Linked DNA regions of Xenopus tropicalis. The protein of the gene in region 1 purifies or fractionates together with the protein of each later gene. This does not show direct contact. Links are inferred from orthologs where the notes say so. Each region holds a gene or a part of one and is shown in the gene's direction. Other genes may lie near its edges.

Region 1 (3,653 bases):
AAGGAGGAATAAGGATGGCAACATCACCGAGGAAACAATGTGTCATGACCCAAAAAAGGAACTGTATGGCTATAAACTGGATGACTATAATGAGAAAGAGTGCATCATGAAGGAGAAAAAGACAAGTGAGGGAATAATGTCCATGTGTTCGTGTAGAGGAAAACTTTGTACTGAGAGGTTTTTTTTTCCTCCAGGTAATTTATTACTTGATTATTTTTATATTATGGCCTTTTGGTGTTTCTGTTGCTGTTGATAATGTATCTGTTTATTTTAGCAAACTGCTTATACTTTACCTCTCCATCACTTTTCCTATTTTTATATATGTGCCCTTTTGTCCCTTGATTTCCTCCTGATTTGCAAAGTTGTGATTACTGCACAACAGAAAAGGCCAGCCTATGTCTGCTTTCTTGGTTAGAACGCAGTTGGCGTGACTCATTTGTTCTGATTCAGATCTTGAGATCAGCAAATAGGGGTGGCCATGCACATAAATACATATGCAGCAATTTCACCCAATATTTATATTGGAACATATGGGCATCCCACAAGGAAAACACAAATTGTAATGAATCTGTGTGGAACGAAAATGTACTGTAGTTTGTGGCTGCCTGGCTTCTCTGTGTGGCACTGGCAGACCTGGAAGTTAAAGTAGGCTGCACTTCCCTCCCATTTGTCCTATTAGCCATACAAGCGTATCAATGCTTTTTAGAAGTTCATGGGTATAGTAACATTTTGCGATAACTGACTGTTATCACTGACTGTTTTTTTATTGTGGTTATGTACCTTTCTGTATTATATGTGAATGAATACCATAGAAATGGTACCTGGGAAATTGAATGGCATCACCCTTGCCATTAGGATGCTCTTCACTGTACCATTTGTCTGAGCTTTTCAGAGATGTAATTTTGGTTAACTTCCCCATATACAACTCTAAGCAATATACAGATTCTCCATAAATAAAATGTAATGAGAATTTTTTTGTGTACATGTAATGTCTTAAATAATCCTATGAGAGCTTGGCTTCCATCAGCCTCTTCCTAGTTTCCTGTTAATTTGGTTGGATCCCTCACAGTTTGCCGATCCTTAATAAAAGTTCATTCTATATGTTCTATATATTCATTAAATTGTGACATTAATTTTATTGTGTCTGTTTTACTATACCCTTAGTATAATGTATATGCGGCCACTTTTTACTACAGTGAGGGAATGTGTTTACTGCATTTATCCAAATAGAGTAGCTATGTGACACAGTCATAATAACAGGACTCCAGCATCAAATGTTCTAACCACACACACCAGCGGTGTCTCTGATTGCAATGATACCTAATGGTGAGTTTGTGTTCCACATGCTTGTTTGCCCTTGAAACTAAAATGTTTTTTTGTTTTTAGCAAATGAGACAAATATAGACCCATCTAAAGACATACTCCTGAAAGTTCTTCTCATCACTCTTCTTCCACTGGTCTGGATCACCATTGCAGTCATCGTCGGCTTCTACTTCTACCGTGTTCAGAGAACAAAGAAACTGAAAAAGAAATGGGAAAAGAATCCAAAGTGCATGCGCCATCCCGATATGGACTGCAGCGATGCCTGTGCGATTATGATAGACGATGATCGTTCTGACATCAGTTCAACATGTGCCAACAACCTAAACCACAATACTGAGCTTCTCCCAATTGAATTAGACACTTTGGTTGGGAAAGGTCGATTTGCTGAAGTGTACAAGGCCAAGCTAAAACAAAATACATCAGAACAGTATGAAACAGTGGCTGTCAAAATTTTCCATTTTGAAGAATATGCATCCTGGAAGATGGAAAAAGATATTTTTTCTGACATGAATCTGAAACATGAGAACGTACTGCAGTTCCTGACAGCAGAAGAGAGGAAAACTGACACTGGCAAACAGTATTGGCTCATCACTGCTTTCCACTCTAAAGGCAATCTACAAGAATATTTATCCAAGCATATCATCAGCTGGGAAGACCTTATGAAGCTTGGAGGCTCTTTGGCCCGTGGCGTTGCTCATTTGCACAGTGATCACACACCCTGTGGCAGACCAAAGACACCAATTGTTCACCGCGACATTAAGAGCTCAAATATTTTGGTTAAAAATGATCTCACATGTTGCTTGTGTGACTTCGGTCTGTCTCTTTGGCTTGAACCTTCACTTTCAGTGGATGATCTTGCAAACAGTGGCCAGGTTAGACAAATTTTGTGTGATGTGCACATGACTAGCACTGCTGCGTTACGGACTATTAATCATTTGCTTTTTCTTGTGTAGAAATGACAATATTTATTGCTGACGTTATAACTAAATGTTTTGCAGCATTCATTGAGTGTTCTCAAAGAATGTTTAGTATTTATTTAGAGCCCTGCGCACTATTAAATTACTTTTAGCTTTCCTTATATTTCATGCAAGTGTTATATATTAATTTAGACAATAATAAGCCGTTTGCAGTAATATTGGTGTCAAATAAAGCAGCAATAGACATTTTATCAGTATTGGGACAACTTTGATTTGGTTTTAATTGATTTCATTTTTCCTTTTCACAGGTCGGAACTGCTAGGTATATGGCTCCAGAGGTTCTAGAGTCTAGAATCAATCTGGAGAACATAGAATCATTTAAGCAAACTGATGTTTATTCAATGGCGCTTGTCCTTTGGGAAATCACATCCCGCTGCAATGCCATTGGAGGTAATTATATTTTTTCTAATGATATTAAGATATAGGTCCATATTAACGTATTAATGATTTTTTTTAGCTGAAACAGCAGGTAGGCATGTATTGTGTGTGCAAGAGGCAGGGAGAATAATGTTCATTATGGAAATCCTAACTGTCCATTATATACAGTCTAGCCTTGCCACCAGAGTTGGTCCATTGGATGGTTATACCATATAAGTGAGAGCTACACAAACATATTGTTTAAACCTGTTTTTACCCCAACTACACTAAAGTAGATTTGTAAAATAATATATACACCCAGTTACCCTAAAATTGAAGGCATTTCCCTGGAACCAGGTAGGTGTTGTACATAGATTAACAGGTATTTATCTAATCTGAAAACAAGCAAATCTCATGCTAATAATGAACAAAACATTAGGAGGCTTATTTATCACAAATCAAACAAGAGGTTTTTTCAATTGAAATAAACTTGACATTTTAGAAAACTCAAATGCTTATTTATTTAGAAATTGAAATACAAAAAACTCAATCAAATTAAACCATGGGAAAAAAACTTGAATGCATCAAATGTATTTTCTTCCCATCATCTTTTAATGGGTCTAAAAAATCTGAAAAAAAACGCATACACATTTTTCATAGGACTCCCACTGAATTCTACATGAATTTGAAGTTTTACATTTGAGTTTTTTAACCATAATTTGAATTTGGGAGTTTTTATGCAAAATCACAGTAAAAATTTGAATTCAAACCTTGATAAATTAATGCCTAGATGGGAAACTGCCAATAGGCCTAGTAAAAGTTGACTTAATTGTTTTTTTTTTTTTATCACTGCAGATGTAAAGGACTACGAGCCTCCATTTGGCACAAAAGTGCGGGAGCACCCATGTGTTGAAAGCATGAAGGACAATGTATTGAGGGATAGAGGGAGACCTGAAATCTCCAACAGCTGGCTTAGCCATCAGGTAGCACACACCG
Region 2 (3,753 bases), on another chromosome or scaffold:
CTGTCTCTCAGTGAGTGTCTCTCAGTGAGGGACTCTGGGTAATGGTGTGACTGTCTCTCAGTGAGTGACTCTGGGTAATGGTGTGACTGTCTCTCAGTGAGTGACTCTGGGTAATGGTGTGACTGTCTCTCAGTGAGTGACTCTGGGTAATGGTGTGAGTGTCTCTCAGTGAGGAACTCTGGGTAATGGTGTGACTGTCTCTCAGTGAGTGTCTCTCAGTGAGTGACTCTGGGTAATGGTGTGAGTGTCTCTCAGTGAGTGTCTCTCAGTGAGTGACTCTGGGTAATGGTGTGAGTGTCTCTCAGTGAGTGTCTCTCAGTGAGTGACTCTGGGTAATGGGGTGAGTGTCTCTCAGTGAGGAACTCTGGGTAATGGGGTGAGTGTCTCTCAGTGAGGAACTCTGGGTAATGGTGTGACTGTCTCCCAGTGAGTGTCTCTCAGTGAGGAACTCTGGGTAATGGTGTGAGTGTCTCTCAGTGAGGAACTCTGGGTAATGGTGTGACTGTCTCTCAGTGAGTGTCTCTGGGTAATGGTGTGAGTGTCTCTCAGTGAGTGTCTCTCAGTGAGGAACTCTGGGTAATGGGGTGAGTGTCTCTCAGTGAGGAACTCTGGGTAATGGTTGTGACTGTCTCTCAGTGAGTGTCTCTCAGTGAGGAACTCTGGGTAATGGTGTGAGTGTCTCTCAGTGAGGAACTCTGGGTAATGGTGTGAGTGTCTCTCAGTGAGGAACTCTGGGTAATGGTGTGAGTGTCTCTCAGTGAGGAACTCTGGGTAATGGTGTGAGTGTCTCTCAGTGAGTGACTCTGGGTAATGGTGTGACTGTCTCTCAGTGAGTGTCTCTCAGTGAGTGTCTCTCAGTGAGGAACTCTGGGTAATGGTGTGAGTGTCTCTCAGTGAGTGACTCTGGGTAATGGTGTGAGTGTCTCTCAGTGAGGAACTCTGGGTAATGGTGTGAGTGTCTCTCAGTGAGTGTCTCTCAGTGAGTGTCTCTCAGTGAGTGACTCTGGGTAATGGTGTGAGTGTCTCTCAGTGAGTGTCTCTCAGTGAGGAACTCTGGGTAATGGTGAGTCTCAGACTGTGCGTCGCTCACAGTGTCCGGCCCCGCCCACATTCCTGCCTCCCGCTACTTGCAGTCTCCTCCCACAAGTGTCCGTGTCTCCGCCCCATTCCCGCCTGTGCCCCGCCCCTGTTCCCCGGTGCCTCCTCCCCGGGCTGTGAGTGGCTCCCCCGGCCCGTGTGGCTCAGTGCTGTCTCCGCTCTGCCCCAGGCTGATGGCGCTAGTCGGTAACTCGGGGCCCCCACAGTCCGCCTGACTCTCCCGCCCTCCCTCCGTACTCCAGGCCGCGGCCCGGGCCTAGCCTTGCTGTGGGACTCCCCGGGGCCATGTCTAACCAGGGATCCCGGCGGAACGGGCCGGTGAAGCTGCGACTGACCGGTGAGTAGGCCCGATACCCCTGCGTGGGGCAGAAGGCTCAGGGTGGGAGGGATCACAACAACAAGTTGGGCCCGGTGCTTCCCAGCATTCCGTGCGTTTGTCATGAGTTCCGGGGGCAAGTAGGGTAATATTCACCCCAGCTACTTCCTGCCGTTAGTTACCCCTCAGGCCTAACCTGCATGTTCCATTGAGCCCAGGGGCCCCTCTGGCTTGGCCTGGAGCTGAGCAATTGCCCTTTGAGGCAGGATTACTTGCCCTAGGTGGGGGTAACTAGTTGGTTTGGGGCCCTGGGTGCTTCTGGGGTCACACCCTGTGCTTATTGGGGTCCTGCCCAGGCTGTGAGTGCGCCCCCTAATTACAGGGCAATAACGAGACCTAATTAATAGAGTTTATATGAGTCTGGCGCTTGTACCCCTGTATGGGGCAGTTAGCTCATGTATGTGCCTGATTCCTGCGCCACTTGCCCCTGTATAGGGGGTACTTATTAGAGGGAAGAAGTCACTTGTGTAGGCTTGTGGGGGCGCCAGGAACCCTAAAATAAACCCCAAATGCCCAACCCCTCCCCTATCGGCCAGGCCTGGGGGCTGCAACCATCTTCCTTCAAGGCTTCGCAATCCCCTTTCTGGGCTAATGTGCATTTGGGGCAACTAGGATTGCTGCTCTTTGGATTCTGCCCCTGCTCAAGGTACCAACATGGCTCCTCAGCCCCAATGTGTCTGAGTTGCATCTCGATTGTGAAATAAGTTTTAGTCCTTTAATGGCATTTTACTGTATTTTGCGTGAAATCTGGAGTGGTCATTGGGGTATGTAATGGATCTGCCCTGGGCACTGCCACCCTTGGCTACTGGAACTCTGGCTGGACCTTATTTGCCCTTTAACTCATCTTTGAAGAGGATGCTGGGATTTGTAGTTCTTTAACAGCTGGTTGCCTAGGCATTCAAAAAGCAGTATTACTAAGTCCTTACCATATGGGCCCCCCTTTCCTCACTGACTACAGGGGGGCTGGTATTAAAAGCAATCATGGGTACCCACTCTAACCATAGGAAATGCCCACAATGGCTTGGCATGCAGAGATTTACAGTGGCATCCATGGTAGTGAGTATTGGCCTTGTCTGGCATTGTCCTTTAATTGTGAACCCTGTTGTTCGGGTTGCCTTTTGCTCACACTGAATGCTGGGAGATGTAGTTTCACAATATGTGGGCCTCTGGCCTAGGTGCCCTGCATTGTCAGTACAAGTGCAGCTGAGTGTGAGAGAGTACATGGAATATGAATCATGGTTTCTTATGGAGTCATTCACACTGGCAGTTTCCTTCTGAGCATTTATACAGAAACCATAGAGTTGTGCCCATAGGCAGACATACAGATACCATAGAGTTGTGCCCATAGGCAGACATACAGAAGCCATAGAATTGTGCCTATAGGCAGACATACAGAAGCCATAGAGTTGTGCCTATAGGCAGACATACAGATACCATAGAGTTGTGCCCATAGGCAGACATACAGATGCCATAGAGTTGTGCCTATAGGCAGACATACAGATACCATAGAGTTGTGCCCATAGGCAGACATACAGATACCATAGAGTTGTGCCCATAGGCAGACATACAGAAGCCATAGAGTTGTGCCCATAGGCAGACATACAGATGCCATAGAGTTGTGCCTATAGGCAAACATACAGAAGCCATAGAGTTGTGCCCATAGGCCCATGTCCCCCTGACAGACCGGCGTAGCCCCAGGTTTCCCCCCTGACAGACCGGCGTAGCCCCAGGTTTCGCCCCTGACAGACCGGCGTAGCCCCAGGTTTCGCCCCTGACAGACCGGCGTAGCCCCAGGTTTCGCCCCTGACAGACCGGCGTAGCCCCAGGTTTCCCCCCTGACAGACCGGCGTAGCCCCAGGTTTCGCCCCTGACAGACCGGCGTAGCCCCAGGTTTCGCCCCTGACAGACCGGCGTAGCCCCAGGTTTCCCCCCTGACAGACCGGCGTAGCCCCAGGTTTCCCCCCTGACAGACCGGCGTAGCCCCAGGTTTCCCCCCTGACAGACCGGCGTAGCCCCAGGTTTCCCCCCTGACAGACCGGCGTAGCCCCAGGTTTCGCCCCTGACAGACCGGCGTAGCCCCAGGTTTCCCCCCTGACAGACCGGCGTAGCCCCAGGTTTCCCCCCTGACAGACCGGCGTAGCCCCAGGTTTCGCCCCTGACAGACCGGCGTAGCCCCAGGTTTCCCCCCTGACAGACCGGCGTAGCCCCAGGTTTCCCCCCTGACAGACCGGCGTAGCCCCAGGTTTCCCCCCTGACAGACCGGCGTAGCCCCCAGGTTT
Region 3 (3,753 bases), on another chromosome or scaffold:
CTCCTCTAGATATAGAAGGATTGTGCTAAAAAAAGTTGTGTTTCAGACTGATTTATTGAGAAATTCCACCAAAACCCCACTAGCCCCGCCCATCTGTTCCACTTCCTGCTGGCTGAATTCTCTGGATGAGCTGGGGAGCCGGCGGCCCTCCATACACTGCACTATAAGATAAGAACCAATCAGCAGCTAGGCTGACCTGATAGGGAACTGAAGCCTGTCTGTGCTTGTGTGACTGCAGGGCTGTGATTGGCTCTCCCCTCCTACGGTGCTTCTGGCAGGGACCGTTAGGACACGCCCACTCTCCATTTCAGACTCGGACAGAGAAGTGATACGATCTATAGGGAGCTCCAATAAAGGGGCCATTGTTACAGATAGGATTAATTTTTAGCCCAAAGGGAAACCAGCACCGTATATTATTCATAATTGCCTACAAAATTAGGGTTTTCCAATTTATCCAATATGTCTCCTTTAATGCTGTGAGAATGGCAGCAGGTTGAATTTCCCCACTGAAAGTCAACACGATGCTCAGAATGTTCATATGTGCATCACACACCACTTGTACATTCAGGGAGTGGTAGCTCTTCCTGTTCCTGAATATATGCTCCCTGTCTTGGGTGGGGTTTAACGCCACATGGGTGCAATCAATTGCACCCAACACATTGGGAATGCCACTTACATCATAAAACTGCCTTTTCATAGTGTTCCAGTCGTTTAGATTTTTGGGAAACGAGATGAAATTCCCAGACACCAAGCGGAAGGGCATCCAGGACCTGGCCAAGGCACCGGGAAAAAGTAGGCTGTGAGACCCCCCCACAACCCACGATTCGTTGGCCAAGCAGGTTATCTTGATTTCTTTGGTAGTGGTATCTCTTTTTATACCCAATGAAATCTTGCAAGCAGGGCTCATAAATGACGATTATTAGATGTCGATGTCACACAACGATATCTGTAAGAACTTTTGAGCAGGTTGTTTCCATCCCTTGGAGGGTTGCATCCAACCCAAGGGCCTCCAGTAAATTATACAACCAAATATACAAATACAGAGAAAACATTCCATAACCCTTCTATCCTCATAACACCAAAGGCAAAGTTTGTGTGTTAAAGACCATTCCCACTCAGAAAAACTCTACTAGATACTGGATATCATGACCTGGATGAATGAGAATATTCAGAGACACCATTCCCACTGAATCTACAATACATGAAATCATTTGATGTCAAGGACAGAATTTTCAATTGATGTTTGGTATTATGGATACCAGTTGCTTTAGTGGCATTTTTTATTATATATTTATGTAGCACATTCGTATTACACAAAGCATTAAGAGAAGCATGCTTAAGAGATGCTTGCAATTAGATTTTCATATCACAGGCATGCAAAGAAGCTGTATTCAATGTCCTCATTGAAGTTGGACATCACCATAAAGTTGATATGGCATTCATACAGTTAAAATCATTCTTCCTGCTGGACGTGTGCATGGAGGGAGGAGGGGGGTCTGTTTGTTTGGCCCATATTCTGGTATGTGGGTTCCTTAGAGAATGTTTTTTTTTTTTTTTGTACTTTAACTTGTGTAAAAGGCATTTCCTTCTGGGCCAGTGATCTACAGCTGTATAAGACCTCCCTCCGTCCCATCAGCTTCCTGCAGAGGGCTTATAGTGCTGTATCTGTGCAGCGTGGAGCAATGTGGACATTTGTCTCTTCCTCAATTACTATCTTACAGACTTCCTTTTCAACTGTCTGACTGTCTCTCCTTCTCTCCTTCTCTCTATAACTAGTCAGTCCTTTCACGAGGAACAAAATCTGGATTTCTGTGGCTATTTTATTCCGCTCTACCCTGTGCCTCTCCTCCCAGCTGTGACACCACTCTGCCTCTTGCAGGGAGCTTATTCTAAGCCTGCACCACTGGACACAGGCTAAGAAGTTCCGTAGAAACGGGAAGAACAGATTCAACAGGATGAGAGCATTACAGCTAATGATCTTTGTTCTCTGCCACATCATGGGACACTCAAGTAAGTCTCTGTTCAAGTGAATAACAATCCTCTGTGGTTGATTTCAAGATATAAGACCACTCTGTGTTTTTGTAGTTACTTCTTTAATTTCACCTTAGAAAGGTAGGTGTTCTTTCAAAGGCAAGTTGATTTCAGCTGCCAGCTCTTTTGTGTCTGTTGTTCTCACACTCTTTGTTGCATCCAACTGCAAAAAGCAAAAATGAACCCCTTTGCTAGGAAAGAAACAATGCGAAATGGTTCTTTTACTTCTTAGAACACAGAGGTGGAGAAGTTCTTTTAGTGCTATCTTCTCTAGCTGTTGGGACATGGATACCTGGGGCTCTAGTTCACAGCCACCTTTCTGTCCTCCACTTGTTTTGTGAATCTACAGATGCACCTATGTTTTTGGTTTAGACTGAATTTGGCCCAATCCTGAAACAATTTATGAATTTGAATCCAAACCCCATCTTGGTTCGCCTATTTATATCATAAAATTATTTCATTTGATCATTAATATATTGACTACCTGTTAAATTTGGGCAATGTTATCATTTAATTTTTAAATTTAGAAACAATATTTCCCAAAGAAGATACTAGAAAAGGTTTAAAAGAAACACTAGCTGAAATAATTTGAAATAATTAAGGTATTCCAAGGGTGTGCTGGGTTTTGTAGTTCTACAACATTTCAGCTGCTTTCCATAGCATACCCTTGACCTACAGCGGACCCCAAACACAGATGACCAATGTACAACATAGGAGCTAATACCAGTGAAATAACAGGAACTAGACACTTGAGCTACACATTTTTTTTATCACATGATAAAAGCATATCCATTTCCTGTGTAAAAAACAGCATGACACCTTTACTACTAATAATTACTACTGTAATTATTTTATCCATTTATGCTTGAAACTGTATGCTTGCCAAATAAGCTTTGGAAAAATTTGTATTATTTTAAAATATATGTAGAACAGTTTTCAGCTATAAGTCTCTAATGCAAGGATGATCAGCCTGTACTTGTTAAACTACAAGTCCCAGAATTCTAAGCCAACCTTTGGTTGGGGTTGCTCAGACTTCAGCGACAGCTTTTAGGCAATGGTTTAGGTAATCCAGCTGTGGAGTATTAATGGCTACATTCTCTGCATATCGGAATTTCTCTATAGACTGAGCTGGGAGGGTTTTAAATCATTGGTTCCTTAAAAGGCTAGCACAAAAAATTTCTAATGTTGTAAGCACCAAAAAGGGGGGTTTTCTCAAGGCCCAGAAATATGTCCCACATCCTCTAAATTAAGTTCTTCTAATTTATTACACCCCCTGGATTTGCTACTTGGAATGTATCATGTAAGAACATCCAAAGTATGTCATGGAAAAAATGGAACAATACTAGTCTCTGTATGGGGGAGCTGGATCAGAAGGATTATTGACTTTTATTATTTCATATGTATGTAAGTATGTATGTGAAATATCCTATCCTATCTGCATGACAGACCCCTTAGATATAGGTGCAGGAGGACGTCAAATGAACCAAATTACTCAAAACCTTGCACGCCACATAAATCTATAAGGAATTGCTGAGAATACTGCACTGTACAGTTTCCATAAGTTCTCATAGTTATCCTCTGCAGATGCCATTAGGAAAGAGATATATTATAATTAAAAGTTCTTTGCCATTACGTAATAACAAACTGGAGTCTCACAACAAACTATCAATGAAGGATAGGAAAAGAGCGCAGGAGGTTTACAGGGCCATGTTCACATAAAGT

What was found.
Region 2: the proteins of tgfbr2 (region 1) and smurf2 purify together in Homo sapiens (affinity purification with western blotting; 3 studies listed by BioGRID). This does not show direct contact. The link is inferred for Xenopus tropicalis from reciprocal best matches to the Homo sapiens genes TGFBR2 and SMURF2.
Region 3: the proteins of tgfbr2 (region 1) and eng purify together in Homo sapiens (affinity purification with western blotting; 3 studies listed by BioGRID). This does not show direct contact. The link is inferred for Xenopus tropicalis from reciprocal best matches to the Homo sapiens genes TGFBR2 and ENG.

The regions. Positions count from the first base shown.
Region 1 is NC_030682.2:49,107,002-49,110,654, forward strand, and holds part of tgfbr2 (TGF-beta receptor type-2), read left to right. Parts: intron 1-3; coding exon 4-194; intron 195-1,386; coding exon 1,387-2,195; intron 2,196-2,548; coding exon 2,549-2,690; intron 2,691-3,512; coding exon 3,513-3,640; intron 3,641-3,653. UniProt on the Homo sapiens protein: Transmembrane serine/threonine kinase forming with the TGF-beta type I serine/threonine kinase receptor, TGFBR1, the non-promiscuous receptor for the TGF-beta cytokines TGFB1, TGFB2 and TGFB3.
Region 2 is NC_030686.2:51,425,878-51,429,630, forward strand, and holds the start of smurf2 (E3 ubiquitin-protein ligase SMURF2), read left to right. Parts: upstream 1-1,143; 5' UTR 1,144-1,383; coding exon 1,384-1,435; intron 1,436-3,753. UniProt on the Homo sapiens protein: E3 ubiquitin-protein ligase which accepts ubiquitin from an E2 ubiquitin-conjugating enzyme in the form of a thioester and then directly transfers the ubiquitin to targeted substrates.
Region 3 is NC_030684.2:24,489,692-24,493,444, forward strand, and holds the start of eng (endoglin), read left to right. Parts: upstream 1-1,617; 5' UTR 1,618-1,955; coding exon 1,956-2,010; intron 2,011-3,753. UniProt on the Homo sapiens protein: Vascular endothelium glycoprotein that plays an important role in the regulation of angiogenesis. Required for normal structure and integrity of adult vasculature. Regulates the migration of vascular endothelial cells.